Linked DNA regions of Diceros bicornis minor. The protein of the gene in region 1 purifies or fractionates together with the protein of each later gene. This does not show direct contact. Links are inferred from orthologs where the notes say so. Each region holds a gene or a part of one and is shown on either strand. Other genes may lie near its edges.

The links.
Region 2: the proteins of CSNK1D (region 1) and CRY1 purify together in Homo sapiens (affinity purification with mass spectrometry; 3 studies listed by BioGRID and IntAct, counting the BioPlex papers as one, with this or other methods). This does not show direct contact. The link is inferred for Diceros bicornis minor from reciprocal best matches to the Homo sapiens genes CSNK1D and CRY1.
Region 3: the proteins of CSNK1D (region 1) and SNX24 purify together in Homo sapiens (affinity purification with mass spectrometry; 3 studies listed by BioGRID and IntAct, counting the BioPlex papers as one, with this or other methods). This does not show direct contact. The link is inferred for Diceros bicornis minor from reciprocal best matches to the Homo sapiens genes CSNK1D and SNX24.
Region 4: the proteins of CSNK1D (region 1) and CRY2 purify together in Homo sapiens (affinity purification with mass spectrometry; 3 studies listed by BioGRID and IntAct, counting the BioPlex papers as one, with this or other methods). This does not show direct contact. The link is inferred for Diceros bicornis minor from reciprocal best matches to the Homo sapiens genes CSNK1D and CRY2.

Annotation. Positions count from the first base shown.
Region 1 is NC_080757.1:61,657,370-61,665,121, reverse strand, and holds the start of CSNK1D (casein kinase I), read left to right. Parts: upstream 1-4,735; 5' UTR 4,736-5,023; coding exon 5,024-5,099; intron 5,100-5,935; exon of another isoform or gene 5,936-6,032; intron 6,033-7,752. UniProt on the Homo sapiens protein: Essential serine/threonine-protein kinase that regulates diverse cellular growth and survival processes including Wnt signaling, DNA repair and circadian rhythms. It can phosphorylate a large number of proteins.
Region 2 is NC_080764.1:17,168,475-17,175,989, reverse strand, and holds the start of CRY1 (cryptochrome-1), read right to left. Parts: upstream 3,001-7,515; 5' UTR 2,167-3,000; coding exon 2,009-2,166; intron 1-2,008.
Region 3 is NC_080740.1:43,823,838-43,831,342, forward strand, and holds the start of SNX24 (sorting nexin-24), read left to right. Parts: upstream 1-4,488; 5' UTR 4,489-4,528; coding exon 4,529-4,588; intron 4,589-7,505. UniProt on the Homo sapiens protein: May be involved in several stages of intracellular trafficking.
Region 4 is NC_080770.1:24,329,847-24,337,819, reverse strand, and holds the start of CRY2 (cryptochrome-2), read left to right. Parts: upstream 1-4,956; coding exon 4,957-5,192; intron 5,193-7,973. UniProt on the Homo sapiens protein: Transcriptional repressor which forms a core component of the circadian clock.

The DNA.
Region 1 (7,752 bases):
GCGGGCTGCCAAGGGGCAGGGCAGGAGAGAGCCGGTGCTCACGGGAAGGGAGGGCAACCTTCCAGGAGGAAGGATCCCAAGTTACCTCCTGCCAAACCTTTTAGGATAGAGAGTTGTCTATACTAGGCTCTCCACTCCCTCTTCCCTCCCCCTTTTTTTTTTGGTCCGTGGATTTTTTAAAAATTGTGGTAAAATATGCACAACATACAATTTACCATTTTAACCATTAAGTGTACAGTTCAGTGGCATTAACCACATTCACATTGTTGTGCAGCCATCACCACTATCCATCTCCAGAACTCTTTCATCTTCCCAAACTGACACTCTGTCTGCCTTAAACAACAACTCCCCCATCTCCCTCTCCCTCCCCCTGGTAACTTCTACTTGACCTTCTGTCTCTGTGAATGTAACTCCTCTAGGTTCCTCATATAAGTGGAATCATACAGGATTTGTCCTTTAGTGTCTGGCTTCTTTCGCTTAGCATAATGTCCTCAAGGTTCAACCATATTTAGCATGTATCAGAATTTCCTTCCCTTTTTAAGACTGAATAATATTCTATTGTGTGTGCAGACCACATTTTGTTTATCCATTCACCTGTCCAGGGACACTTGGGTTGTTTCCAGCTTCTGGCTATCTCATTTTCTCTCAAACTTCTCTTTTTGCTGTCTTTTGTTAAAATCATGCGGAATATTTCAAATTGCAGCTGCCTGGAAAATCTAGAAATTTTAACAGGACAGCCTCTCTGGGCCTCAGTTTCTGCATCTCACAATGATAATATGGAAAGGAACAACACAGGTCAGCATTCCTACGGTTTGTTGATGCCCAGCAGGAGCAGAATGAGGAGACTTGCGTGGAAGCCAGGTGAGGAGGGCAGCAGCGGGGGTGACCTTCTCTCCATGGTCTGAGCCTGGGCACAAATCCCCTCTTCAGTGACTCTGGGCTGCCAGAGTCCAGAGTCTGGCTCTGGCCAAGGGGAAGTGAAGCAAAAGGTAGTCATGATTTGTGCAAATGACCCTGTCCCCTCCCTGCCCCACCCCCACCCGCCCCCATTAATTGGCTCCAAGGTGCCAGCCTTGGGCTTGCCAGTGACCTGTGACCTGGGGCAGAAAAAAACTGGCCAACCAGGACCAGCCAGTTACTTTCTCTCACAAAGCTGAATGGAGGCACGGTAGGGAGCTCAAGGGGCAGAAACTACTAGAAGCCAAGGCATGTCAGTCAAGAGGAGGAAGAATTGAGCCAAGCAGCTGGGAGGTGCAGGGCCACCATGAGAGACAGCAGCGAGGACCCCAGAGTAGCTCTCATCCCATGTCTAATCCCAGGTCAGGTGTCCTTCCAAGACACACACACACACACACACACACACACACACACACACACACGCCTCTTGTTTCTGGAGACTAGAGTGTGTATCTGCCCCCCGCCCCTAAAGGGTCTGACGAGAACCCTTGGCGTGAGGCCAGGATGGGAGAAGGGAGATGTGTGCTCTCAGGGTACAGGAAAACATGAACTTCTGCAGCTGATGCCAGCCTTGGCTGGACCTCGGAGAGCAGTGCGACACACCAGTGAATGAGAGCACAGCCCTCCATTCATTCACTGGGCGTGGGGGGCATAGCTGTACGGTAGAGGCTTCCTTTGGGGGGGCGATTAAAATGTAAACCTGTGGCGATGGTTGCACACCTCTATGAATATACTAAAAACCATTGAATTGTAGTCTAAACAGGTGGATTGTGTGGTATGTGAACTGTATCTCGGTAAAGCTGCTCACACATGCGCACAGACACACACAGGGCAAGCATGGAAAATCCTCCACACCCCAGGACAGGCCGTTCTCAGTCTGCTTCCCTGGGCTCCGCTTCCACGGAGGACAGAGGACAGACTGGGAGTCCACTCCCCTCCCACACCTCCTCGCCTGCCCAGGAGGTCACAGGGAATTTGGGTTATAAGGAAGGGGACAAAGTATTTGGAAGTGCTTTAAGACCAGGTGCCGGGGCAGCCCTGGTGGCGCAGCAGTTAAGAGCGTGCGCTCCGCTTCGGTGGGCCGGGGTTCGCAGGTTCGGATCCTGGGGGATCACTGACGCACCGTGTGTCAAGCCATGCTGTGCCAGCGTGCCATATAAAGTAGAGGAAGATGGGCACGGATGTTAGCCCAGGGCCAGTCTTCCTCAGCAAAAAAAGGAGGAGTGGCAATGGATGTTAGCTCAGGGCTAATCTTCCTCACAAAAACAAAACAAAACAAAACGAAAAAAACCCCAGAGGCCGCCTGGAGTGGGAATGGCCTGCAGACACACAGGACCCGGGCAGAAGCTCAGCAGGGACATGTGTGGGTCTGCACGGGCAGACCAGGGAGTCCAAAGGCCAGGAGAGGGACGGGCCCAAAAGACCTCCAGCCCCCACCCCCAGCCTTTTGGGTGAGACTTTCCTCCTACTGCAGTTTTGGATTGAAACAAGAAGACCCCAGGCAGGGCAGAGGGGCCCCCTGCTTAGTCAGGAACACACCTGGGGAATCTTGGGCGTGAGTGAGTTTTGAGGGCATGGCACAGGCCAGTGACCTTGCCGGCAGCATGAGGCTGGGAGCGGTCAATGAAATCCAGCTGGGGGCCAGGTCCAGGGAGGCCACCCCAACAGTGAAGGCGGGGTTTCCACCTCGCAGTTCTGTTTGGGGATGGCCTAGCCTAGGAGCTGGGAGTTCATCCACGTGAGTCATTCATGAAGCCAGCATTTACTGAGTGCCTGCTATGTCCCAGGCCGTTCCCAACAAGAACAGGGGCATGTGCGAAAGCCTCCTGCACCTGCCGGCCTTCTCCTGTGTAACTCCTGGTCCTCAGGCAACGCTCCAATGGACAGTCTGGGGCACTGACTTCCGTCCTTCTCAAGGTCACACAGTGAATGGCAGAGTAGGATGAGAGAGCAGCCGTGAGCACAGAGAGGATTCCCATCTGGAAGAGTGTAGAGGCCGGAAGTGGGGAACCAGCTGTCCTAGCACAGCCTCTGCAAGCCCTGGCCCCGCAAGCGTGCTTCACAAATGGGAAACTGAGGCACACACAAGGATACTGTAGCCACTGGGGCAGGCTACCTGCAGCAAAGTGCTGGGATAACAGGGCCTGGAACCCTGGCACAGGCCCCTGGTGAGGCCCCTCAAAGATGGTGGCTCTGCCCCTGCGCAGGCCTCTTCTGGCTGCTTTCCATCACAGCCGTGGACTGAAACACAGGCAAGGACTTTGGTCCTGCTGTTGGCCGGCTGTCCTGACCAACTCCGAGAACAAACAGGTGAAGCAGGTAGAACCACAGGGCCTACGGGGCAGCCCAAACAGCTACAGCTTCTTTTTTGAGAGGACACCAAGGCCCAGGAGGGGACCACTGGCCAGCGATCAGCCCAGGGCAGCTGAGCGAGTGGCCTGTCCAGTATTTCCAGGGAGCAGGGGCCAGGCCCCCTTCTGTTTCCAGTTTGCACTCGTGGCTTTCTCTGGCCGGGGAACTGGGCATTGTTCATCAGCAAATTCTGCCAAAAAGGCTCTTTTCACTGGTTTGGCAAAATCCCCCCAACCTCATAAGACTGAGAAACTAGGCTGACCACTGCACGTGGACATGGGGTGTTCCCAGTTGCCCACCACTCACTAGCGACTGATCCTGGCTTGCCTTGTGGCCTCTCTTTCTGTCTCCAGGCACTCCTTGCAATGCTCAGGAGTCTCCCCAACCTGAGCTCCAACGATTTTCCGGCATGGGCTGCACTACCGAGACTGAATGGAGGAGAGGGAGGACTCCGGAGTGGAGAGACCAGCCTGCCAAGCGCCATGGGAGGGCACTCACTCTGCTGTATTAACAGCCGGTTTTATGGTGCTTCCTTTTTAGCCGGGGTGGGGGATAGGCCTAGAGAAGCATTGACATGAAAGTCATTCCTTCTTGGTTTCCGTGCCTCTCTGGAGGACTCCCTTCCCAGTGACTGGAATCAACAGTCCAGATCATGAAGCTGGCGGTCAGCCGGAACATCAACATTCTTGTTTTATTTTGCAAGGAAGAATATTCAGACTCAACACAGGTTAGATAAAAACGTTGATTCAGTCTCCAGACCGATGGGACTGGAGAGGCAGGCAGTCTGGCCTCATCCTTTGAAACCCTGGTAGCTTCCCCTTCACCCTTCAGGTGTGACAGCTGGCTGAGCTGCAAGCCCGGGACTTGGCACAGCAGGATGGGAAGGGAACTGCACAGTAGACGTCCCCGGCCAGCCCCCGACCACCTCAAGAGGCGTGCACACCTGTGTCCGCTGTGGCCCGACCTGTGTCTCTGTCTCCAGACGCTGGGCCAGGAAGGGCGGCCTCCTCCTGGAGAGTCTCAAGGGCGCGGGTCCCCGGGGTCTAGAGGGACGGGCTCGGCCCCTCTCGTTCTCCTGCAAAAAGCACTGCCTGGCGGCCTGTCCCAGGCCTGTTGCTAAGAGCCACTGGCTTCCTCCTGCGGGGTCAAACGAGTTCCCCGCGTGAGCACGTGGAGCCTGCATGCGGGAGGGGGTCGGGCGGGGGGCTCTCGGCACGGTGCTGCGGTGCGGGAACAGGCGACAAACAGAGAAGGGAGCCGCCTGGGGTGTCCAAGGGCCGCGGAAACTCCGGGGCGCCCTCGCCCCCCTGCCCCGCCCCGCCCCTCGCGCAGCGCGGCCCCTCCCCCCGAGCTGCGCGGCCCCGCCCCTCCAGGTTGCTAGGGGAAGTGACGTCACAGCGCGATGGCGGCGGCTCCTTTAGGCTGCTGAAGGGGGAGTTAGGCCCGGGAGATCCGAGTCCATCCGCGGCGGGGAGAGGGCAAGGGGGGTCGCAGGGGCCTGGAGCAGGGGCGGCGGCGCTCGGACTGTTCTCTCCGCCCCGTATTGAGGCGCTGGGAGCGACGGGGCGGCCGGAAAGCGATGGTGAAAGCGGGGCCGTGAGGGGGGCGGAGCCGGCAGCCAGACCCGCAGTAGCGGCAGCTGCGGCGCCGCCTCCCCGCGCTTAGACCCAGGAAGCGGCCGGGAGAGTAGGAGCGAGCCGGGGCCGCCGCCGCCATGGAGCTCAGGGTCGGGAACAGGTACCGGTTGGGCCGCAAGATCGGCAGCGGCTCCTTCGGAGACATCTATCTCGGTGAGGCACTTCCCCCGGGCCTGGCCGAACCGAATCGGGTCCCCTCCGCCCGCGCCCCGGGGACCCCCGGCCGGCCCCGAGGCACTGGCCCCAGCGCGCCGGGCCCGGGGGTGGCGGTGTCCCCGCAGACCGACGAAGGCCGTCGGGCGTCGCGTGGCCCCGCGTCCTGGCACGTGCGGGCAGGTGGGCGCGGGGAGCCCCGGCTGGGCCCTGTGCAGCCGCGCGCTCGGGCCGGACCGTGGGCTCCGGACGGTAGGACGGGCGCGGGGTCGGCCGTGTCAGTGGTGAGTGGTGGCTAGGGACGTGTTGGGCATCCGTGCTCTGTCTTGGGCACCTGCGCCCGGACAGCCCTGAGAGTCAGGTGCGGTGACGGAGTCGTGTGAGGATGCTGGCGGAATTAGAGGCAAGGGAGGTAGGAAGCCCTGCTCGTGAGCCTGCCCTTTTGGCTTTGAAAATTCTCAAGGTAGAGTTGAAAAACACATTTGGGATTAGAATGTTCTGGATTGTTTCGGATTTACAGTGGAAGAATACGCGCACACACGTGTGTAATAAAAGGTTGGCTGGAATCTTAAAGTTGGGAATGTTAAAACAACTTTTCTGCATTTCTCAGAGGAATTATGTGTAAGTTACTGCACACCCCCTGGATTTGGGAACGTCCAACCTGGCACACGGTGTGTGTTCAGAAAGACTGAAAGACTGTCGTTGCGCAAGTTTGGGGTCAGCGTGTTGTGTTGTTGCGCAGCCACGCCCTGTTGTTTCTGTTTGGACGGTGTACCTGTCCGGGAGGGTCAGGAATAGCTTCCTGTGTCGGTAATGCCTCTGGTTATGCCTTTCAGACGATCCCAAGTGTGTGTGCCCACCGCCCTATCCTTCCTTCTTGGCCGGAGAAGACGCAGGACTTCGGGGGCTGTTAAGAGGAGTCGACGTGTTTGGGTAGTTCATAACTGCCTCTGGTGCCTAGATACCCTGACACCGTTACTGCCATATTGATGCCTTTGAACCTATACTTCTGCCTTACTGTCCTGCTGAGTAAAATACACTTTGGAAGCATTTGGAATTTAGTATTTAAATATTTATGTCCAGTAGTCAGCCAGCTGCATTCTCAGCAGCGTTTTGGGAGGCAAAGTGCTAGGTAAATGCAAGCTGTTTGCCTTATTTATAGAATAATAGGTTTTGGCAAAAGCTTTAACCTAGGAGCTGTACTGAAAGGCCATTCCATGAGCCACTCTTATGCAAGCATCAAAAAGTAGATGTGAAACTTTCTGTCCTTGCCAGACAGCTCTGTGCTTTCTAAAGCTGGGTTCAGACAATCAAATTGTGAAACGGTTGTCACCGAGTCATTCACAAAGGTGTAAGCTCTTCTCATCGGGACTGGGAGCTTTGTGGGGGACCCTGTCTGCTTATTCACTACTGCATCCTTTGGACCTCACCTGGTGCTGGGCACACGGGTAGCACTGGATACATATCAGGCTGACTGGTCCCAGAGGAGTCTGTCCTCAGTCTCCTGCTTCATGTGTGTTCTAAGATGGGTGGACTGTGGTTCTTGAGCCCTTGTTCTGAGTACCCACACAGCTCACGCATCAGGGTAAACTTAGAGTTACTTGTGTGGGATTGGGCACAACCCATTTTTTTCAATCAGTGTTGGCTCTTGGCCCACATGGCAGCCCTTTCAGGCTACGCACGACCCCACTGAGAAAATGTGAAATGATCTTGTTAGCTTGAGTAAGATGTGGCTAGAAAGGTGGGTCTGAGGAAGCTCACCACATACTGTCGTTAAAGATCAAAGATGACTGGTCCAAAGATGATGGGATGGATTGAGTCACCTGTACCATAGCTTTTTCTATTTGTTTAGGCAACTAATCAGGCATTAGTTAAGGAACTGAGTCCTGATCTTGAAAATTGGTATGTCTTAGGTATTTTGTGTGATTACAATTAAAATCATTCCTGCTACCATCCTTTTGCTACTGGTCAGAAGGCTCTTGACTCCTCCAGGTAGGGTCACCTTGTTTTGAGCCTGGTGTTTGGGGTCTTGGATTTCTGCCTGGAAGTTTCTGTGCTTTCACACGTTTGAAACTGGGAGTAGGGAAGGCTGTTCTTCAGCTTGCCAAGCGCCTTGTGGACCAAGAAGGCCCAGTATTGGTCTGTCTTTCTGGTGGCCTACTGTGCTGACGTGGTCACGTGGCACTGTGCCCTGCCAGTTATTCCAGTCCTTCCCAAAATTGCCCCTTCAAAGGGGGGCAGGATCTTGGGGCTATTTTCTCCAGTGCCCAGGCTTCAGAAAGTCTGTGGACTGGACTTGAGCCAGGTAGACCCCAAAACGTGCAGCCTCGATCCTCAGTCTGCCTCCCTCTCAGCTTGCCAGATCCAGAGAAGGCTGCTGGGAAGGCCTCAGAGCTCACACACCCTGGGCAGCACACAATTGGGCAGAATGTCACTGCACTTGGTATTGCAGGTGGTATAAGGTGAACCCCGCCCGGCCGTTTGCCTCCCTCAGCTTTAGCTTCCACGGGGTTGTGCCCCCTCGCTGCTGGAGGTGGTGTGTTTTTGAGGCAGTGGAAACCAGAAGTCCTTTTACTTTGCTGGCAGTATATCTCTGATATATGTGAAAACAAAGGGAGAGCCAGTGTTCTTAATGTGGACCATGTGTTCCAAA
Region 2 (7,515 bases), on another chromosome or scaffold:
CTTCCACAGTGCCACAATTTCTACACATTAGAGTACTCAAGGCTCAGTCCTTGGACCTCCTCTCCTTTCTATTTACACTCACTTTCTTAATGTTCTCACACAGTCTCACGGCTCTGCTAGAATGCAGCTTCAACAGGGTAGGAATTTTTCAGCAATTTTGTTTATGCTAAATGCCTTGAACCTAAAACAGTGCCTGGCATGTAGTAGGTGCATGACAAATATTTGTTCAATGAATAAATAGATGAATAAATGGCTTTAAATATTATCTATAAACTGATGACTCTCCAATTTATACCTTCTGCCTGGATCTCTGTCTCGAACTCCAGATACATTCAACTGTCTATCTGCTATCTCCACTTGGATGTGTCATCAACATCTCAAAGTTAACCAAGTTCAAACGAGAGTTCCAATCACCCTCCCAATGGCTTCTCTGACAGACTTCACTTTCTTAACAAAGAGCAGCTCCATCCTTCTACTTCCTGAAGCCAAAAACTTTTGAAATCATTCCTGATTCCTTCTCTGACACCACATATCCAATCTGCCAATAAATACTGTGGATTCTGCCTTCAAAATATACTCAGAATTTGACTACTTCGCACCAAGTCCACCACTATCACTACGGTCCACGTCATTACCATCTCTCGTCTGGATGCATGCAACAGCCTCCTAACTGGTCTCCCTGCTTCTTGTCCCCCTCCACCCCCAATTCACTCTGTTCTCAGAACCAAAGCCAGAGAAATTTTTTTCAAACTTAAGTCAGATCAAGTCACTTCTCTGCTCATAATCCTACAATTATTCCCACTTTGCTCTGAGTAAAAGCCCAAATCTTGACAATTGCCTATAAAGCTCTACCCGTTCTGGGCCTATTAAATCTCTGAGCTCATCTACTACTTTTCCTCTCACTTATTCTGCTCCAGTCATATTGGCTTCTTCTGCTGTTTCCTCCAAAGGTTATAAGCACACTTCTACCTCAGGGCCTTTTCCCTTACTGTTCCCTCTGCCTGGAATGCTTTTCCCCCAGATACCCACAACCTATTACCTGCTTCATCACCTTGTTCAATTGCCACCTTCTTTGAGTTTTTCCTGATCACCATATTTAAAATCGCAACTCTAATCCCACTCCCTCGTATTCTTTATCCCCTTTCTCTGCTCTGTATTTCTCCACAGCATTTATCACCACCAAATACTATATATTTCACTTCCTGGGACACGTGCTCGAAAAGGACAAGAATTTTTGCTTGTTTCATTCCACTCTATATCCCTGGTGTTTAAAGCAGTGCCTGGTATACAGCAGGTGATCAATAATCTACCCACTGAAGGAATGCTTTCATTTCCACCAGGGGGCCTAACAATCATCTAGCCTGATATTTCAGGAAAAGATCATAAAGCTTCTCCAAGATTTCTCCCAGGGCTCTGATCCGTAGAAGGATTATACTTTGCCTGGAAAGAAAAACTGTGCTTTGTCTAATCAACCACAAGGAGGAGTTGAGAGGAAGAGCTAGGCAGAGAGAAATCAGACAATGCCGTTTCCCTTGCTTTTCCTACAGCAACCTCAAGGTGGGAGAAATACGGATTTGGAGGCAACTGTACTGAATGAATGATTTTCTCCCTACTATGAGTTACCTAGACACACACAAACGTAAACATTAAAACCCGCAATCCTTTCGAATGCCACAACGAGGCCAAGGAAATCAATCCACGGGCCACTGAGGACTGGGAGGGAGTTTCTTTCACTCCACCACTAATAAGTCTCCATAAATCCAGGGGAAGAGTTGCCATTAGCGCAGAGACACGTAACTCACACACGAAGGCCTGGGTGCTCCAGGCTGCCAGCACGCTCGGGCCAGGGAGCTAGTAAGTCTGTTCTATTTAATACTTAAAGCACCCACACTCTTAAAACAGCATAAGCAAGGCGGTCCCAGGTCTAAACTCGCAGATGGGGCGGATCGCGTGTCAAGTCCCGATTCAGTGAACACCGAAATCAATTTCCCACGGGATTCTGACTCACCGCCACCTGTTGATGCCCACATTGGAGGAGCCCGCGAACCAGGGGTCGAGGATGTAGACGCAGCGGATGGTGTCGGCGCCCTGGATGCACTCCTTCAGGGCGGGGTTGTCGTGGAGCCGGAGCCCCTTTCGGAACCAGTGCACGGCGTTCACCCCCATCCCGGGGCGCGGCGGACGCCGAGTTCCTCCCGGAGAAATTCAGGGGAGGAGGGTCCGGCTCATGACCGACACCTCCGCCGCCAGGAGAATCGCCGCACCCAGGGAGGGAGGGGAGGGCGGCAGAGCGGGGAGAGGAAAAAATGAGTCCGAGGAGGGGACCCGAGAGGGAGAGGGCGCTGGAGGCGCTGCTGGAAGATGAATGGAGGCTACCCAGGCGGCGGAGTCCGGTGTGACGCCCTTTAGGAGCCGGCGCCGGCCGCAACCGCGCGGACCAGACGCATAACTTCGAGGGCCTCGGACCTCCGGCGGCTGAGCAAGTTCCACGAGCCCGAGCCGCCACGACGGCCTGAGCCGGCACCCGCGGCCCCTGCGGGTTCGTCACGGAAGCCTCGCCCCACCGAGGCGGCGCCTGAAGAGAAAACGGGCCGCCGGAGGCGAGCCTCCGAGAGGGACGAGAGACGGTTGAGCAGCTGTCGGCCACGCTGCCTCTCGGGCCGGGAAAGAGGAGTGAGAACGCAGCACGGAGCACGAAGGCGGTGGTCGAGGCCGCTGGACGGCTGCCGGCCGGTGACCGGTCCCGAGGCTGCCCGGGTGACTCCGCCGCCGCCGCCGCGTCAGCGGCCTCGGCCCCGCCCCCGGATCCTCATTGGAGGGCGCGGTCCCCACGTGACCCCCGGCACCTCACGTTTCTGAAATGTGTTTACTACAGCCGCTCTGACTGGGGAATGTGCTCATGATTCAGTCGCTTCTAGGGGGCGGCAGCCGCTTGATCTCAGAGCCGTCGATCCTCGCCCAGACGCTGGGCTCTCTGCCACTGCTCCTTTTCTCGGCCGACAGGTCGCCGTGGCCTGGAAGCCCCCGCGGTAACCACACGGCCCCTGTGAGGGGAGGCTTAGCTCCGCCTCTGGGGGCCGTGAGCATCCACCATTGGCTGAGGCCCGCTGAGACCCGGATGAGCACGGGGATGCGGGGAGCTCGCGGACGCGCGCTTGGCTCGGGAGGGCGCGCGTGCGCTCTCACTCTGTTCCAGAGGGAGAGAGGCAGAGAGGGAGGCAGGGAGGCAGGGCGGCAGGGCGGCAGGGCGGCAGGGCGGCAGGGCGGCAGGGCGGGGCCGGCGGGCCGGAGTGCGCTGGGGGATTCCTACCATGGGGTTCGCGGAAGGGCTGGAGACAACGTGGTGTCGTCCAAGCGGCGGCGGGGAAGCTGGGGGAGGGGAGTGAGGCAGGATGGGGTGGAAGGAGGAGAGTAGGAAGCTCCATTAGACTTCGAGCCCAGCCGTGTGCTTCAATCCAGCTTTAGCCAGAGAACCCTACTTTTGAGTGTGTGGAGCTGGTGCCCCTGCCATTCTTCTGGCCCTCGCGGCGCGACACCCTTGGACATGCTTTGGGGAAGAGGGGTAATTGGCAGGGTGGGTGCCAGGCATCCCTGGAATTCCTTTATACTGTCTGTGTATCATCAACATGTCAGCCCTAATTTCTTGCACTAAGTGCGATTTACAGGGCTCTTCGTGATGAGGCCTTTGCCTACCTTTCTAGCGACAATGAACTTCAGTCCATGCCATGCCTTAGACATGTGATGCCCGTATATTAATTCAACAATTACTTATTGAACCAGGCACTGTTCAAAGTGTTGGAGATACAAGAGGGAAATAGACAAAAATCCCAGCCCTCTTGGAGTTTACAGTCTGTCTCTTAACCTTTACACATGCTGATTTTTCCTCCATAAAATGCTCTTCTTTAGAATCACTACAATCACCTTTGAGCTACCTGGTATATTGCTACACATCCCTTTAGATTCAGATGAAGTGCTACCAATTTGTGGAAATATTCCTGTCCTCCAAAGCGGGTTTAGGACCACCCCCATCTCGCCAGGCATGTCTCTGATGCATCACTTATCACACTATGGTGAAGATTAAATGAAAAATGCCTACTTTAATACCTAACACAAAATATGTGCTAAATATCAGTTTTTATTATCATAATAGTTATCATAATAGCATTATGATAACTTGAGAAGTGTGACTTCTCAAGGACAGAGTTTTTGTCCAATTTGTTTTTTGCATCATCAATACCTAGTGTGAAATGAATAAGAGAAACCTTAACTAAATTAAAGTTGGGAAGGTCTGTAGGGGGAGCTCTCAGGCTCTATCATACATGGTTAGTTACTCAGGAAGAGACATAGCTTGCATCTCTGGCAGTAAGTACAACTATTTTACTACTGAAGGAAGATTTCTCTCCCCACCTGGCTACAGCCCCTGAACTGTCACTTTTCTCCAATGGACTTTGTTTAGAACAGCCCCTCCCTGCTCCCCCTTTTTGTCTATGAAAGCAAGCTCTCCTCCTTTGTTCTCGGAATTTGCCTATGGTTTGCCATTGCATGCACATCCTGAATTGCAATTCTTTTGGCTATTCTCAAATAAACTTATTTTGAGGGTAAAATAACTGGCAAATTTGCTTTTTAAGTTGACACTGGTATAGAGCCTGACACATGTATTCAAATATTGAGTGAATGAATGAATCTGTTTGCCACCAGTGTGTTTGGCAAGGTTACAAGGAGGAAGGATATGGCAATTGTTACAGGTTGACTTGTGTCCCTCTAAAATTCATATAACCCCTAGTACCTGTGACTGTGACCTTATTTGGAAGTAAAGACTTTACAGATGATCAAGTTAGGATGAGGTCATTAGGGTGGGCCAATCCAATATGACTAGTGTCTTTATAAAAAGGGGGAATTTGGACACAGAGACAGACCCACACACAGGGAGAATGCCATGTGAAGATTGGAGTTATGCTACCACAAGCCAAGGAACTACTTGAAGCAGCATGGAACAGATCCTTCCCTAGCACCTTCAGAGGGAGCATGGCCCTGCCAATAGTTGGACTTCTGGCCTCCAAAACTGTGAGACAATAAATTCCTGTGGTGCCTTCACTTGGATTGCCTCATATTCCCAGGCCTATTGTAGTTTTAAAAATACAGTGTTTCAGGGCTGGCCCAGTGGCATAGTGGTTAAGTTTGCATGCTCCACTTTGGCAGCCTGGGGTTCTCGGGTTTGGATCCCAGGCGTGGACGTACGCACCGCTCATCAAGCCATGCTGTGGCGGCATCCCACATATAAACTAGAGGAAGATTGGCACAGATGTTAGCTCAGGGCCAATCTTCCTCACAAAAACAAAAATACATTGTTTCATGTTTCATTTTAGGCAGTTTGAAAGTAAGCAGATTGTGTCTAAAGACATAAGAATTGTTTTCAAACATCCAAATGAAACAGTGGGAGGTAGAGAGACAATATTGATTGGTGTAGAGTTGACTTATGTTTGCTGATTGTTCATTCAATAAAGATGAATTTTTTTGACAGCTGTATGTGGGTGTGTGTGTAAGTTTCATTTACACATAAAAGTACTAATTTATTATAAAAGCATCAGTACTGTCAACTGTGCATTCCTCAAAGACTGAAGGGTTTTTATGGCATACAGATGGTTACTTTAATATATCTTTGTTATGGGGGTGTAGTAACCATTTAATAATAGCACCTACTATGTGCCAGGCACTTTATATAGGTTATTCTTAACCCTAATAATAATCTTTTGAGGCAGCTTATTATTATTTAATAATAACTTATGCCCACATTGCTGATAAAGACACTAAAGCTCAGAAATACAAATAAGTAGTAAAACTAGGTGAAAAACCAAGACTGTTTCTGAATCCAAGCTCTTTCTTTATCATATACTATTCCTCACTCACACTACCACTCCCCTTGTTTTTCAGAGTGAGTATTTATGTATGAAGGGAGAAGGAAAAGATGGGGAGTGTTGTCAGGAATCTCTTGTGATATTCTGGTTGACTTCAACATCATGGTGGTAGAAAGAGTATGGGACTAAGAGAAAGAGAATGAATTTTCTCTCGGCTCACCATTTAGTTGATGATCCTGAACAAATCACCTGGGCTTTCTTGGCCTGATTAATTTATCTATAAAAGGAGGCGATTGAACTAGATGATTTCTAAATTTTCTATACTATTTTAAAATTCTAGGATTCTATGAACACAACCCTGTCATGGGCTCAAAAATATCTATGAAGAGTCCTGTTAAACATTCTTTCAACTGCCAACTATGTTAGAAAAATCAATATCTCTTTGATTTCATGAGCGCCCTTGATAAAAATGTGTTACCTCTAAATTGAAAGCCTGTGTTCTCTCTTGACCCCATCTTGCAGAGGTGATTTTTGACATGTTATTAACAAACACATAATGAAGGGGTAGACAGTGCAATCAGCTCATTCAGTCTTTTTTTTTTTTTATAATTTTATTTATTTTTCCTCCAAAGCCCCAGTAGATAGTTGTATGTCATAGTTGCACATCCTTCTAGTTGCTGTACATGGGACGCAGCCAGACAAGCGGTGCGTCAGTGCGCGCCGGTGATCCAAACCCGGGCTGCCAGCAGCGGAGCGTGAGCACTTAACCGCTAAGCCATGGGGCCGGCCCAGCTCATTCAGTCTTGATGTGATGTGTATATTAGGCTGGTAGCCCTTGGCTGAGTGATCCCCAACACTAGAGTCTTTGGGGGATTGAATTTATATGATGTGTTAAAGGATCATTATTTTTTTAAAAAGGTAAATTATGACTCTCATATGAATATAAAATGAACACATGTCAAAGATTTCACTTAACTTGTTAATTAATGAGGGAACCAGTAAGATGTTACAATGGAATAAAAGGAGATTCCAAAGAGCAGTTACATATATAGGCCATGAGGAATGTTAAAAATGAATTTTCTTATTATATGCAAAACTAACTTCTTCTACAAAGGGGTGAGGGTAGGGAAATCAATTGCACTTTCAGAGGACAATATCCATGTGCGTGTCCATGGACAAGATTCGTTTGCATTGCTATCAATAATCTACGATTTAAAGAGTTGTAAAATAGTTTAAAGATAATGACAGGCAGAGAATAACTTGAAGAGACCTAGTAATTTTTTTGCCCATTTCAGTCATTCATAATTTTTCTCACCTTCTTGGAGTGATACTGGCTTAACACAAGGTTGACACAAGGGAAGCCATATTGTAGAAAAGAAACCATATTGTAACTTGGAATGACCTCTGATAACTAACCCAGATATGCTCTGCAGATTTTGTGGCCCCTCTCAGCTGCTATAAGTTGATAACTTTGTTCTTTTGAGTTCCTTAGGAACGTGATGACTCCCAGGCAGAGAGTCTATGCTGATAGCCATCATCAACGACAGCTGAAAGATCAGGGTGTAGGGCGTTGCTCCGGTCTCTGATACATATCCAGTAAAACAAAAGACCATCAGTAACTAAGGCCAGATGTCTGCCCCTACCCAGAGATCAGATGGAT
Region 3 (7,505 bases), on another chromosome or scaffold:
AACATCTTGACTGCAACCTAAGCTGCTCCCAGATTCCTAACTCACAGAAACTGTCGGAGATAATAAGTATTTATTGCTTTAGGCAGCTACATTTTGGGGTAATTTGTTATGTGGTAATAGATAACTAATTTGGATTTTTTTTTTTTGGTCCATTTGCATTCTTCTGGGAATTGCCTGTTCATACTGTGTCCATTTCCTATTGTGCCATTAAAAAAATTAATGTAGTTATTCTTTATGTATAACATATACATTAATCCTTTGTTATACATGTTGCAAATATTTTTCTCAGTTTATTGAATTTTTTTAAACTTAGACGGTTTTTGGTTTCCATTAATTTTAAATTCTTATCTAGTCTAAAATATAATCTTTCCCTTAATGTCTTTGACATGTATATTGTAATAACACTTTGTCTACCTTGAGGTTTTATAGCTTTGTTTCTTCATAGTGCTTTTTTTTTACTACATTTGGAATTCATTTTAAAATCTATTTTACTTTTCTCCCTAACACATAGCCAGTTATCGATAAACTATTACATCATTTATTTAAACTTTTAAACATTCATTAAAACTTTAAAACTATTTAAACATTTATTAAAACTAAACACCACTTATTTAATAGCTTATTTTTTACCCCCACAGGTTTGAAATATCATTGTTGTTTCATACTATGTTTCTATATATTCAGGGATCTATTTCTGGGCTATTTGATTCCCTTGATCATTTCTCTAATTCTGCTCCAGGATCATACTGGTTTAATTACTATGGCTTTATAGTATGTTTTGATGTCCTATAGATTAACTTACCTCTTCATTTATTCTTCTTCTTCTTCACACTTGCCCTGGCTATTCATTTTTCAAGTGAATTTTATTTTATTTATTTATTTTTTTGTGAGGAAGATTAGCCCTGAGCTAACATCTGATGCTAATCCTCCTCTCTTTTTTGCTGAGGAAGATTGGCCCTGGGCTAACATCCGTGCTCATTTTCCTCTACTTTATATGGGACGCCACCATAGCATGGCTTGACAAGGGGTGCGTCAGTGCGCGCCCAAGATCCGAACCTGTGTACCCTGGGCCCCTGAAGCGGAGCGCAAGCACTTAACCTCTACGCCACTGGGCCAGCCCCACAAGTAAATTTTAGAACGGCTTGTCACTTTTCTTAGCTTGTTGGAGCTTTGATTGTATTAACTTTATAAATTGTTTTGGTGAAAACTTATATCTTTAAAATATTGATTCTTCCCATCTAGGAACATGATATAACTATTTTCAGATCTTCTTTTATGTTGTTTAATAAAGTTTTCTTTTTCTTCATATAAGTCTTGCACATTTATTGTTAACTTTATCCTTAGAATTATAAGTTCTTAATGCTGTTATTAATGAAATATTTCAGTTTTCTGTATGTTATTTTCTAACTGCTTAATGTTGGGCTATAGAAAGCTATAGTATATGAAATCTATTGATTTGTATATGTTGATTTATGAAACTTATGTAACTCTTTTATTAGTTCTAATAATTTTTTAGTTGATTCTATTCTATGTAGATCATTTTATCTATAAATAACCCTAGTTTTCTATTTTCCTATCCAATATGTGTACCTCTTATTTCTTTTACTTCTCTTATTGTATTGGCTAGGGCCTCCAGCAAAATGTCAAACAATAGTTATGATAAAGTTATTAATACTGTTATGATGCTTCCTCATATGATGTTGAATAGGATATTTGCTGTGGAGTTATAGTAGTTAATCTTTATCAAATTAAAGATTTTTTTTGCTATTTCTATCATGTTAAGAATTATTAGGAAGAGATATACTGATTCATTAATGTTTTTTTCAGGATCTATTGAAATACTCATTTATTTTGTTTCTTTTCTAATCTGACAATGTTAAGAAATACAGCAACAGATTTCCTAATGTTTAACCATCTGTATGTTCCTGAGATAAATCTTATTTGGTCATGATGTGTTAGTCTTACAATTGAATGTTGACTGTGTAATAGATTTTGGTCAAATCTTCTAACATAAATTGGTATTTAAAGCAGTTTATAATTAAATTTGCTGAAATATATTTTTACCTAATATTAGGTAAATTGTATTTTTAGTGTAAGGATTTCATACCCAGATTCCAGCAGAATTTTATTATTTTGCTTATATGAGTTTTTTGCTTTTATTAGAAAATACTAATTGTTCAGTGTCTTATATATGTATTTGCTATGTATTTTTATTAATGTTCTGAGAATATATTTAGCAGGCCTGTCACAGACTGTAGAGTCAGACTAAGATATGTTGGAACAACAGGATAATACATTTGCCACATTCTCTTCATTTACTGCTATTTTTTCTCCCTTCCTTAGTGGTTACTCACAGAACTTAGTTAGAAATTTAGATCTTCTAATTATTAGCTAATAATTTCATAGTTATCCTCTCTGAGCCTCAATTATGCCATCTATAATAATTGAAATTATAACAATACCACTTATGGCTAAGCTGATAGATCCTCAAGAACACACCCACATATTGGGAGCTTGTATATATTTTCAGCAAGGCAAAATTAAATTATACATAGCTATTAGAATACAGCAAATAGGTTTCATTTGAATTCAACCATCTGTCACATCTCCATGGACCCACACATTTCTGCCTCTTAAGTCCAATGGGTAAATAGGTGAGCCTTGCTAGACTATATATACGCCAGGCTACTAGCAGGCTGTTGTGGAAGGTCAGTACAGAAAGCATACTACAAGCTTGATCAGCAATCTGTAGCTCAAGGATTTTATGATTATATAATCCTGGGTTACATCACCCACTGAGACTTTAATAATCTGTTTCAACCAATCTTGAAATTGTTTTGGGGGTCTTCTGCCATCAGCAGCCATTACTATTTTAAAAACAAAAAAACAGAAACACCGGTTTTAGGCCTTGAAAGTCCTATTGCCCATAACACTTCTTCATGGGGTTGTTATAAAGCTTAAACGTGACATGGTATGTAACGTATGTAATAGCATCTGGCATAGTACCTGCTGCATCCCATTGGTTTTGTAAAGATGAGTATTTAAATGCTTATATAAAGCTTTCAAGAAAAATGTCCCTGGCATTGTGCCAGGTAGGGGATAAAAATTTTTTTTAAAAAGGTACTTGCCCTAAAATCTAGTGAGTGAGGCAGATAGATAAATCACACAATAGTGTGTGTAACAGTCACCAGAGGATCAAAGGAACCAACAAGCTGGGCTCTGAATTCAGACAGCATGGAGTCCATAGAGCTGTGCTTACATCAGGAGGTGCTGGCCCGTAGAAGAAAAAGAGGAAGGGCGGTCTGGTCAAAGGGCACAGCTTATGCTGAGGAATTCTGAGGGGCAGACACATCACGGAGTTGCGAGCTTGTGGGTGAGGAGGGTGGGTCTTCAGATGAGGTTAACGTAGAAGGCTTTGCAGGGTCCTTAAAACAAAGGAGCTGATTATTCCTCTTTTCCATGACTTAGGGTCTCATTATAAACTTTAGAGTTTGCCACTGTGAAATGCCCCCTGGCCTCAAGGCACAGTTGTTCGCCTGCAGCCCAAGAAACTCTCTGGCTGAGGTCACTTCTCAGTGACCCACAAGTCACCTCCAAGTTTCCATTCTGCTCTGTGCTCTAACCTAAGGAAGAAACTCAAGAGTTTACAAAAGATAACCTGACAATCAAGTTTCCTCTACTGGAACACTTCATCTTTTAGGTACTTTCAAGGTTATTAGGTCCTGGCCCGAGGGGCAGAATCCGGTTCTCACCTTTCTTTTCTTTTCTTTTTGTTTCGTCTTCTATTTTCTTTTACAGTTAAAAAGCCCTATACAGTTATTTAAAGGCAGCATTTTAAAACTGGAGCAAGAAGCTGGAGCGTTTGTCTCAGTGCCCGGCCGACTTTCGGGCTCTGTATTGTAATACCACTCCAAGATTCGGCGGCTAACTCGGAACGAGACGCCGACCCTGGAATGGAAGGGAAGCAGAAAAGTCTCCGTAAAAGTTGGAGGATTCATTGCTGTTAATGCCAGCCAGTGATGTCTGCTATGTCAGAACGAACATTCGGCCAACCAAAACAAAATCAAGAAGCTTCATGCTTTTCTATTCCTCGCTGTCGTGCAATCGGCTAAGGGTGGTGTCTTGCAAATTGCAAGCCGGCGCACGCCGGGGCCCGAAGGACAGGGTGCGCCCGGGTGCGGCCCTGTCCCCGGCGCCCGGCGCGGTGGCGCGCACACCCCTTTTCTGCAGACTCACAGGTTTCCAGGCCCCGCCTCCTCTGGGCCCAGCCGATCCCTGCCGCCTTCGGGCCCAGAACCCAGCTGTCCAGAGCCCCGCGCCCTCCGTTCCCCGGGCCCCGGATCCCGCCCCGGGCCCTCTCAAAGCGCGGCGGGCAGCGGGGTCAGCAGCCGCTCCAGGTCCGCGCCGCGCAGCCTCGGGGTCCCGAGGGCGCAGGGAGGGGGGCGGGGCGGCCGGGCCGGGGGCGGGGCGGCGGCCGCAGCCGTGAGCCCGCCCCCCGCTCGTCCTCCGCCGGCCGGCTGGCGCGGCCATGGAGGTCTACATCCCGTCTTTTCGCTACGAGGAGAGTGACCTGGAGCGGGGATACACGGTAGGCGCGGGCCGCGGCCAGAGGGGGCCCCGGGGGCCGGGCCCGCGGCGGCTGAGCCCGGGAGGTGCCCCCCGCCGCCGCCGCCCCTGCGCAGGGGGTCCCCTCGCTCTCCTCCCCTCCCCTCCCCCGGCCCAGAGGGAGGGCTGCGCCCCGCGCGGTTGTCAAGGCAACGGGCACCCCCTCCCTGGCGCGGCGGCTGCGGGCGCCCGGGGTCCCCGGGTTCGGTCCCTTCCCCCTCCCAGCCCGGCTCCCGCTCTCGGAGCAGGAGCGCCTGGAGTCGAGTCTTCCGACGCGGCACTCGCCATTCTCCCCGCCACCCGCGCTCTCGAGCCCGGGATGGGCTGCATTCGTTTCTGGCACAGCTGCTCCCTTTGCCCAGACAGAAGTGGCTTCGCGGTGGGTTGATGTTGGCTTCCAAGTTCTGTAGGATTCATTCAGCTGAAAAATATGCTCATTTTTAAAAATCCTCATTCGTAGCTATTTATTAGCCTAAGTGAATACATGTATTGCTTTTAGATGGATTCCAAAGTTTTTTCTAGTTCTGCAGTGCCATGAAATGGCAAAATCAGGTACTTACTGAGCACATGTTCCATACTTGGGACTGTGATCACCGAGAAATGAGAAACAGGGACCCTGCTGGCAAGAGTGGAGGAGTGGGCGGGGAGAGCAGGCACCAGGGCCTGGGATCTTTGGGTAATAAGTTTAGTAAGTAAACTAGGTGGTTGATTTCCCAATGAATTTAGACATCTTCATCTAGACAGTCATTACTAGAGGGAGAAATACCTGAGGCTGGGTAGACCTCGGAAGAATTTATTTCCAGTTGTTAAAGAGCAGGTAGGCTTTGGAGAGCATTGCAGAGGGCAGCTTGAAAGGATTGTGATTTTATTCACTTCTAATTCACTCACTTACTAAACCCAGCTACATTAATTTGGCAAAGAAGCATTTTAACCTCTCTCGCCTCCTCTAAATGTTTTTGGATTTTGGTGACAGCCTATCTGGAACCTAGTGTTTTCATAGGGAGGATTAAATCACCCTTTCAAAGGAATTTTTAGAATTAAGAGTAGTGATTAAAAAAAAAATCCAGATTGTATGTGGGTTTTTAGAATTAAGTAGACAGCTGGGTTCAAGTGTCCCAAAACATGTACTCAGAGTGCCTTCCATCAGGCAGGAAACTGCAGCTGAGGGGGAGCTGACCTCAGTATAGTGGCCGTTATTTATATAAATAATCCTTTCCAATGAATTAACATTTGGTTAAATATTCTGTATCTTCCTTAAAAAAAAAAGTTGAACTTAAATCTGAACCTATTCAAGGCTTTTTCCTTAAACTTAATACCTTGGTTGTCTTTTGTTCTTCCAGTATCTCACCTCTCCCATAGGCATCAGCAGTCATGGAGGGCCTGCCATCTTGGGGGCATTCTTTCAGGATCTGAAGATAAAAAGGCTGCTTGTTAGGGGCCTTGGTCTTTAGAGAAAAGATGAAGGTGGTCTCAGCAGTCCATGCTAAAAGTTAATTACATCCCAAAATAAGTACTTTTAAATAAATCAAAATTAAGGCTCATTGGCCATTATTGATTTTCTTCTATTAGAGAATCTGTGTTTTCCCCCAAAGTTTTCGTATAGTTTTTTTATTATTTGTACACCAGGCGTGAGCCAGACTCCAGGTTGTGAATTAAACTGGTTTCGAAGGAGCCCTTTCCTTGGTAAACGTGGTAGTTTGAAGATTGCTTATGTGATGAGACTTTGTGTGATCTTTAAGAATTTACTTAAAAAAAAAATCTTAACTCATTTTAGATTGGTAACCATATTGTTAAGATACCTTCTGCAAGTGATTTTTTTTTCCTTTGTGAGTTTGCCAAGCAGCCAATTAGATACTTTGTTCCCTCTGAGCAACTATTTTTTAATTGTACAGCAGTTTATTCATTCAGCAAATATTAACTGAGTGCCTGATATATGTCTCTACTCTAGGTGATGGGAATATAGCAGTGAATAATATTTCATCTTGTAAAACAAAACCCCCCAGAATTAAAAAAATATACTCTCAATTTCCTAAATAAGAAAATGGTAAAATAATGTACACTTTAGTGTAAAAAGTTCCTTTTTACTTTAGTGATTATGTTTATATTTTAAATTGAAGAAATATTATATTGCATTCCAACAAATTCAGTGATAGGAATTTTAAAGTAGAAAAAGATAATTCTTCCTCCCTGTTTCTAGTCCCATGCCCTCAGAGGTAAAACCTAGAGGTGCTTTCTTAGAGACTTTTTCCCCTATGCTATGAAAACATGTTTTTTCTTTTTACGAATAAATGGCAAGATTTTACTGTAACGGTCATCCTACAACTTATGGATTTCTTTCTGTGTCAATATGGATAGGTCTGTCTCCTCCTTCTGACTTCCAGCAAAGGGATCTTCCACAGTAGGAATGTACTATAATTTGTTTTCCCAGATCTCTGTTGATGGCCATTGACATTTGCTCCTAATATTTAGCAACTATATCAAATGTTGAAATAAGACATCCCTGTACATGCTTTTTTATGCCTACCACTGGAATTTCTACTAGAAGTGGTACTTTCGGGCTTTGTAAAGTTTTTATAAATATTGCTCACTTGTTATTCAAAAAATTCATACAAAGTTATGTGCAATATACAAAGTTATTTACTTTTAAAGAGTGAATTTTTTCCTTTTTAACATTTAAACATTTACTGTGGGCCTGCACAGTGTCTGGTGGGGAATTGAAAGATGGAAGGATGTTGTTCCTGTCCTTCGGGATTCTCAGCCCATCCAGGAGGGGCAAGGGTGGGGAAGGATGAGGGTGCCCTGATGTCAGCTGGAGTCCTGAGGAAGGAGGGGGCGGTTCTGCTCTGCCTTAGGTTGATGTGCTGGGGGTGGGGATGGGGATGCTTAGGAATGCTGACTTT
Region 4 (7,973 bases), on another chromosome or scaffold:
TTTCCAGGTCTTACTTAAGAATTCTTTATCTATCCCCAAGGTCATAAGGATATTCTCCTATATAATCTTTTCAAAGCTTTACTGTTTTTTTTTTGTTGTTACCGCTGTCAAGTCAACCATCAAGTTGACTCTGACTCCTAGTGACGCTGTGTACAGCAGAGCTGAACCTTGCCCGGTCTTTTTGTGCCATCCTCTCACCTTCTGGCGCTCTATCAGACAATCCTCCCTGCTATTCGTAGGGTTTTCATGGCCAATTTTTTCAGAAGTGGGTGACAAGGTCCTTCTTCCTAGTCTGTCTTAGTCTGGAAGCTCTGCTGAAACCTGTCTGCCATGGGTGACCCTGCTGGTGTTTGAAATACTGGTGGCAGAGCTTTCAGCATCACAGCAACATGCAGCCGCCACAGTATGACAACTGACAGGCGGGTGGTGTGGTTCCCCGAATGGGAAGCGAACCCGTACTGCAGAGGTGAGAGCACTGAATCTTAACCACTAGACCATCTACTGTTTTATATAATCTACCTGAAACTGATTTGTGTGTATGTCCCAAGATAGCTGTCAAGTTTCATTTTTTTATGTTGGGATATCTGATTGACCCATTTCCATTATAGGAAAAACCACCTTTACCCTACTTCTTTGCAAAGACATCTCTGTCATGATTAAATATCCAGATATGTGAAGGTCTGTTTCTGGGTTCTCAGTTCTGAGACTTTTGTCTATCTTGCTCCAATTCCACGCTGCACTGGTATCATCGTTACCATCATCATCATCCCCAGCATCATCATCCCCATTTTACAAATGAGGAAACTGAGGCACAGAGAGGCTAAGGAACTTGCCCAAGTAATTTACTAGTTAATGGCAGAGCTGGAAATAGAACCCAAGGAAGCCGGTTTTTGGGTCCATGCCCTCGTAATAGTTCAAACAACAAATCTCAAAGCAGGCTCTACGGGAAGTCTTAGAAATAGGAAAGCCGCAGCCGCACACTGCGCATGTCCCGTAACTAAAGAGAGGAGGGTGGGGCTCTGGGGCTCCCGGCTCAGCCCCAAACGGAGCCACCGCGTCTTTCCCAGACCCACCACCAGAGGGCGCAGATAACTTAAACTCGCCAGGGTCGTCCCTCCCGCCCTCCCCTGGTTGGCTTGCAACCAATCATAAAATATTTACCCAAAGCGCAGTTCAAAGACAATGTAAAAAATTGCCTAATCCAGTCTCCAAGCAGGACTACAGCAAAAGGACAAAACTGGACTGATTTCAGTTTTCTTAAATATCTTCAGTGAAGAAAGAAACTTCCCACTACCTGGCTAATTTGTCTCATTCCCAAACCACTTTATTATACTAAGTCCCTCCTTGAATCTCTTACTCTTCCTAGGGTAAACTGGATTCTTTTGTTCTACGCTTAGTGGAAACAAGGAGCAACTGTTTGGCATCCTCATGGCAAACTCTTCAGACATGCTTGTAAATAACGACGTGTAGAGCTGTAAGGTCAAATCTCAGTTCTCATTTCTCTCAAAGCTATAACAGTACACGATTACATGTTACCTCTTAGCAATGTACAGGTTTCTTTGGTCTCTCTCCAATTTCCCTATGTCCTTTTGAAATGTGAAGTCCCAAAGTGGACTTTGCACTCCAGTATTCCACCCGTGACAGATTTATTTCCTGATTCTTGAATGTTACCCTGTTAATATACGCAAGCAATGTGCAATCATTCAATAAAGTAACTCATTTTTTATCAACCTGATGAAAGATTATATAGGTATTAAAATAACAATCACAAAGGCAATGACATAGCAATATAGAACATGCTTAATATTTCATTTAAAAAGCCATGCAAACACTGTACTTCTGCCTTGATTAATGCTATAAAAAGACGCTTATGGACAAAGTCTAGAAGGTAACATAAAGGTAAAAACAATAATTGACTTGTTTGGTTTTGGGGGTTGATGGTGATTACTTCTCTCTGTTTTGCATTACTGGTATAATTTTGAGGACTTTTTAACTGATTAAAATCTTTTATTCACTCAGCAACTTATGGAGCACTCATTATGTGAAAGACCCAGGGCGAGGTGTTGCAAGGAAGACCAAAGCAGACACAGATCCTGCTGTTTAGAATAATAGAATAATAATAAGCTGATACTTATTAAATGCTTACTATATCTTAGCTACTATTATCATCCCTATCGTATAGGTGAAGAAAGTGGGGAACAGAGAGGTCAACTAGCTTACCCAAGGTCACACAGAGTAAAAGTAGAACCAGAGTTTGAACACAGACATTGCAAATGTGCAAGCCCTTGGACTTAACCACCATACCACACTGCCTTTCATGAGAGCCTAAAAAGACAGAAATAGATAAATAACATTCAATCATTCAGCAAATATTGATTGAGCATCTACTACATGTCGGGGACCAAACTAGTACTGAGAAGACACTAATGAGCAAGATAAGCACAGTCCCTGCCCTCATGGAGCTCACAGTCTATAAAGAAAGCATCATAGGAGTTCAGAGGAGAAAAAGAGAAGACTACTCATCTTTGAGGCTGTAGGGAAGAACCATCTCTTACACCCTCTGTTCCATTCCTAGCAGAGCATCCACCTTGTGGAGAGAAGAGGAGATGGGAGAGGGAGGAACACAAAGTCCCAAAAGAAAAATAACGAGAGGTGGCATCTATTCATTCAGCAAGCATTTGGAGAGGGGATTCAAAAGTAAAGCCAGGGTCAGGACTGGTGTCTATGCAGATACCAATAACCAATCTGTAGATAAGAAAGAGAGAGTGATATTTAATGAGCTAATGTGAGGACTAGCCCAGAAGTGCTCTCTTCCCCAGGGAGGAAAGCACTCCAGGGAAGCATGGTTTACAGCGTTGTTATATATGAGTTCAGAACGAAGAACATACATCAAGCATGACAGGAATACAGTGTTTTTTTTCCAAAGTCACAAGGAGATGTTTTGCCTCAATTTAGTACACACATAGCAGGTCAGCTTGACCTTAGTTCTCTGGGGAAAAACAAAGCTAATCTTCACGGAAGTACTGGTATCAGAGAAAGGGAGACATTCACCCCTCTTTAAAGAGTGCAGTTGTTGCTTTGGGAAAATCTTTGAAGCAGATGTACAATGCGTGTTTGGTGGGCCATAAGTCAGACTGCTCTGGGAAAAACAAGTTTTGGGCCAAATCAAATTTAAACCAGAATGGCTTCCTCATATACCTCAATATGTGAAAACTTCTTATTATTCTTATTATTTTCATCGCTGGGATAGACCTTTAAGGTTCCTGTCAACCTGAGACTCTAGTTCCTGTTCAATTTTGACTCAAATGTCTTCAAGCATTGAGTGCCAAGCACTGAGCTAGATCCTGGAAATACAACTATAAGTAAGCCACGGCCCCTGCCCTCCAGGAGTTTATAGTCTAATGGGGCAGACAGACAAGTAAGAAGTTCCAGTAAATGTACTAAGGCCAGTGATAAGAAGCAGCACGGAAAGAGATGAGGCACTATGCCGGCTTGGACCAGACAGCAAGGAAGTGACATCTTTACTGAGCGGTGACACAGGACAAGCTGGAGTTCGAAAGTGGATGGGGTGGGGAGTGTGATCCAGGCTTGAAAGAACAACTTGGCAAAGTCCTGGAAATGAGAAATCCTAGGATCGCAACGATGCTCTGATTTATAGAGTGGTGCCAATTAATGCCACTAAATTGCTGACTAAATTGCTAAATTCTTTCATTGCTCATTCCCAAGTTCAGAAAGGGTTCCGAGCATGGGCACAACCTAGGGCCAAATTGAAACAGACTCTTCACTTGATAACTGCAGAGCTCCACCCTGCCTAGGCCATCTTAGCCCACCGTCACTTCATTGCAGGTGTTCATATGCTTCTCCTGCCATTCAGTCAGTGGGGCCGTCAATCAGCGAGACCTGCGCTAGACTCCAGAAGAATAAGAAGCCTCAACCCAATTCCCCAGGGGAGGATTGGGGACAGTGTCCTCCACATCTTTGAGTCCAAGACGAATCCACCACAGTGCTTTGTGCACAGTGGTACCACTGGATCTACTAAACATAGAACTAAAAGAAAATAAATTCATCTGATGGAATAATTACTATCTCAACCCACGTCCTCCACATTCGCAGTCCCTACTCCCAGCCCATCTACTGCTGCGCATCAGCGCACTCCACCCCCTTCTCAGACTCTGCCACTTGCAAACGACAAGTTGCTCAGCGCAAATAGAAGCGTAGCTTTGTGGATAAAAGCAGAAGATTTGGAATCAGAATAATCTGGGTGGAGTCCTCTTATTAGATTTATGATATTGAGCAAGTCTCTCAACCTACGGCAGCCTCAAAGTTTTCTTCGTCTGTAAAATGAGAATAAAACAGCTCTTTCACTGGAGTTTTTGAATGAACGCAACTGGGCTGAGTTGTGTAGTAGTAAATGAGACAGTCTATGTAAGGAGATTATCACGTTGCTTGGCATATAAAATACACTCAAATAGTAGAATGCTGCAGATGATGTAATAGGGTGAAGGCAGAGGAGGAGGAGGAGGAGGAGCATGGTGCTGTAGGACGGCCGGTTGTCAGTCCTGTAAGTCACTGGCTGGACTGGCAAGCCCCACCAGCTCAGGCAGTTTCTTCCAGCGGCAGGCCTTGAACAGGACGCGCGTAAGAGATCCGCTGCCCCCAGACTCGGTGCACGCCCAGACCTCCGCAGGGAGGGCCAGCCTGCGTCACCCGCCCCGCCCGCCGGCTCCTCCCCCGCCGGCGGACACATGGTGGGAACGTGATGGGGCGGGGCCGAACTCGGCGCCGCTAGGCCAATCGCCAGGAGGAAGGCACCCAGCCAATGGCAGAGGCGCTCCAGGGCCAGAGGGGCGGGGCCACAGGGAGGAGCGGCGGCGTCATAGGTCACTGGGCGGGCTGGGGGCGGGGCCCGCGGCGCCGACGGGGCGGAGCAGCGGCGGCCGAGCAGTCCCGGCGGTGATGGCGGCGGCGGCGGTCGTGACGGGGGCAGGGGGGGCTCCGGCGGCGGCGGCGGCGGCGGCGGCGGCGGCCGGAGCGGATGGCGCCTCCTCGGTGCACTGGTTCCGCAAGGGGCTGCGGCTCCACGACAACCCGGCGCTACTGGCGGCCGTGCGCGGGGCGCGCTGCGTGCGCTGCGTTTACATCCTCGACCCCTGGTTCGCGGCCTCGTCCTCGGTCGGGATCAACCGATGGAGGTGAGGGGCCAGGGACGGGGGTGCGGGCCTGGGGGACGCAGCCTGGCCGCGGGGCGCTCGCGAACAGCCCGGGCCCCCCCACAGAGAGGGGGAAGCTCTGCCCCGCAGTCCCCACGGCCGGAAGACTCCGGCCTAGGGAAGCGGGGCAGGAAGACCCAGCGGGGTCCCCAGAGGGGAGAAGCCAAGATGGGGAAAGCAATTAGTCATCGTGCCAATGGCCGGGGGGGACCAGGGCTCGGCCTCTGACAAAGCGCTTCCTCACTCTTTATCCCCTTGGGCCTCACAACATTCCAGAGGACAGAGATCATGGTCCCCGTTGTACAGATGAGACTCTTGAGCCTTAGAGACGCAAAGTTGCCCTGCCCCAGGACTTGCGGCCAGTGCGTGGCAGACCGGGGACTCCTGGTCTAGGGCTCTTAGGGGTGCGCTCAGGGCGGGGAGAAAAGGAGATTCTGCGCTGTGAGGGCAGGGACGGGTTTCTGAATCCATAGCACAGCAGACGCGTGCACTCTTCGAGTAAAGAGCCCATTGCTGGGCTCCTGAAGGTCGTCTCTAAGCCTCTGGTGTGTTTGAATCCATCTTTTCACCGATGCCGACTGCCCTTCCACCAAGACTATCCTGCCTCTGGAGGTGTCTAGAGACTCTGGCTTAGCATTAGATAAGAAGGCAAGTGCCCTCTCCTATGTGTTATAGGTACAGACCCCAAGGCCATGTTCAGTTAGAGGCACTTTGTCTCCTGACCTAGAGAGCAGGACTGAACCCATTTTGGAGAATTCCCTCAGCAGCAGTGAGCTTGCTAGGAAAAAAAAAAAAAAACACAGTGTTACTTCCTTCCTCCCCTTCTTATGAGACTGATCTTAAAGGACAGTTGAACCACCAAAGATTAGACTTTTATCAACTGATGTGCTGAGGTCAGGGAGCAGGAAAACTGCTATCAAGGGCCCGTCTTCGATTACTCCAGGAAATGGAGTTGACAGGATCTTGGGAAAGGATTCACAGATAGGTAGTTGATGTATTTTCTCTGTAATCAGTGTTTAAAACCAAGGCGTTCTGAGACATCGTGTACTCATCTGTCATTAAAACATCCCACAGGAGTCATTCGGTTTGTTTGCGTGGTTCTGGAGGATGTTTGCTGTGGCCATATTGCGTTGGGCAGGGTTATTCCCAGGATACAGTGGCTCTCAGCACACCGTCCTTCCCTCTCCAAGGTGTGTGCCCTGCTGGGAGAGTGAGGGCTCTAGCAGTGGGTCTGTGAAATGCCCCCTCCTGCCCCACTTATATAGAGAGAACAACTAAAGATAGTCCTGTGGAGAGCCTGCCCACACAGTTTTCAGGCGGCTCTGTTGCTCTGTCTCTGCTCCAGTTTCTATAGATAGGAGGTTGGGTTCCACAGACATCCTCAAATGGCCATCTAGCAGGAAGGTTAAACTGAGCCTCAGACTTTGCCCCTCGCTTATGTCAGTGTGCCAATCCGAGCAGAGTAAATAGATCAGACTATCGACTTGTTACACTGTCACCAAGGAGTTTCTTTTGTTGGATTTTGGGGGACATCGCAGAGGACTGCCTACTCCTTTGTGCTAGTAGAGATTAAAAATCAGCAACAAAAACTCTTGCTGATTAAACTCCGATTTGCTAGGAACTAGATGTTTATGGATTTTTATGGGTCATGCTTTTGTGATTGTGCTTTCAAGCAAGTGAAGGAGAAGTGGAATGTGGCAGCTCAGATACCTGAGTCAGATCCTGAAGTCAGAGGCCGTGTAGGAATGCAGATTTTAATTGAGCAATTGTTTTAATGAGTGCCTAATATCTGCTAGGCACTGCCCTAGGGGCTGCTCAGGTCACAGCAGTGAACAAGAGGATGCCGTGTCCAGAGCTCCTGAAACCTACATTTTAATGAAGGAAGACAAGTAAACAACCATAATTTAGTAGAAGTGCCATGAAATAAATAAAATAGGAGGATGGACTAGAGTACTGACTCTCAACTTTGCTGCATATAGCAATCACTTAAGGATCTTTAAAAGATGCCTCACCCCCCTTCCCCCAGTTCTGATTTAATTGTTCTGGGTTATGGCCTGGGCATTAGGGTTTTTAAAGCTCTCAGGTGCAGCAAAGCCTGAGAAGCACTCGACTAGAGAACCACAGACCTGAGCCCGACAGCTTGGAAAATGTGTTGCTGTGCATTGGCAGGAAGTCTAATTAGTTTTGGCATTCAGAAGAAAGAAGTGAAATGACACAAACAGATCGAATGTAATAACTGCTCCTGGGCCTGGAAATAGACACACTCCTCCCACCCCCATACTCTTTGCTCCTTTGATTGGATGGAGGGCACTGCTGCACGCTCCTTTATGCACTCGGTTGGGGGGAGTGATGGAGCCAGCCATACCTCTGCGTAACTCGAGTATGTGTAATCTTCCGGGGGCTGTTTCTGGATCCAGGAGTGATCTGGGAGAATTGCGCTGCAGCACAGTGTCCTCACTCTGCTTCACTTGCTGAGAAGCCTCCCTAAGAAGGGTGGGCCCCGGGCCATCTGCAGGATGGAGATGGCACCAAAATCTGTGATCTCTATTATCTCCTGCGCTTCCTACACTGACTCCCACACAGCGTTTTTTGGCGGATGAATCAGATTAAAATAACCATGAATGGCACTTTCTAAGAGTAAAAGAGGACAGAGAGAGGCAATTAAGAAATATGTATGTTTATGAGCCTAGGAGAAGGGCTGGCATTCTCCTTGCTTTGGTGGTGGTGGGAAGTTTATGGACTAACTGTAGCTATATGAGCTTC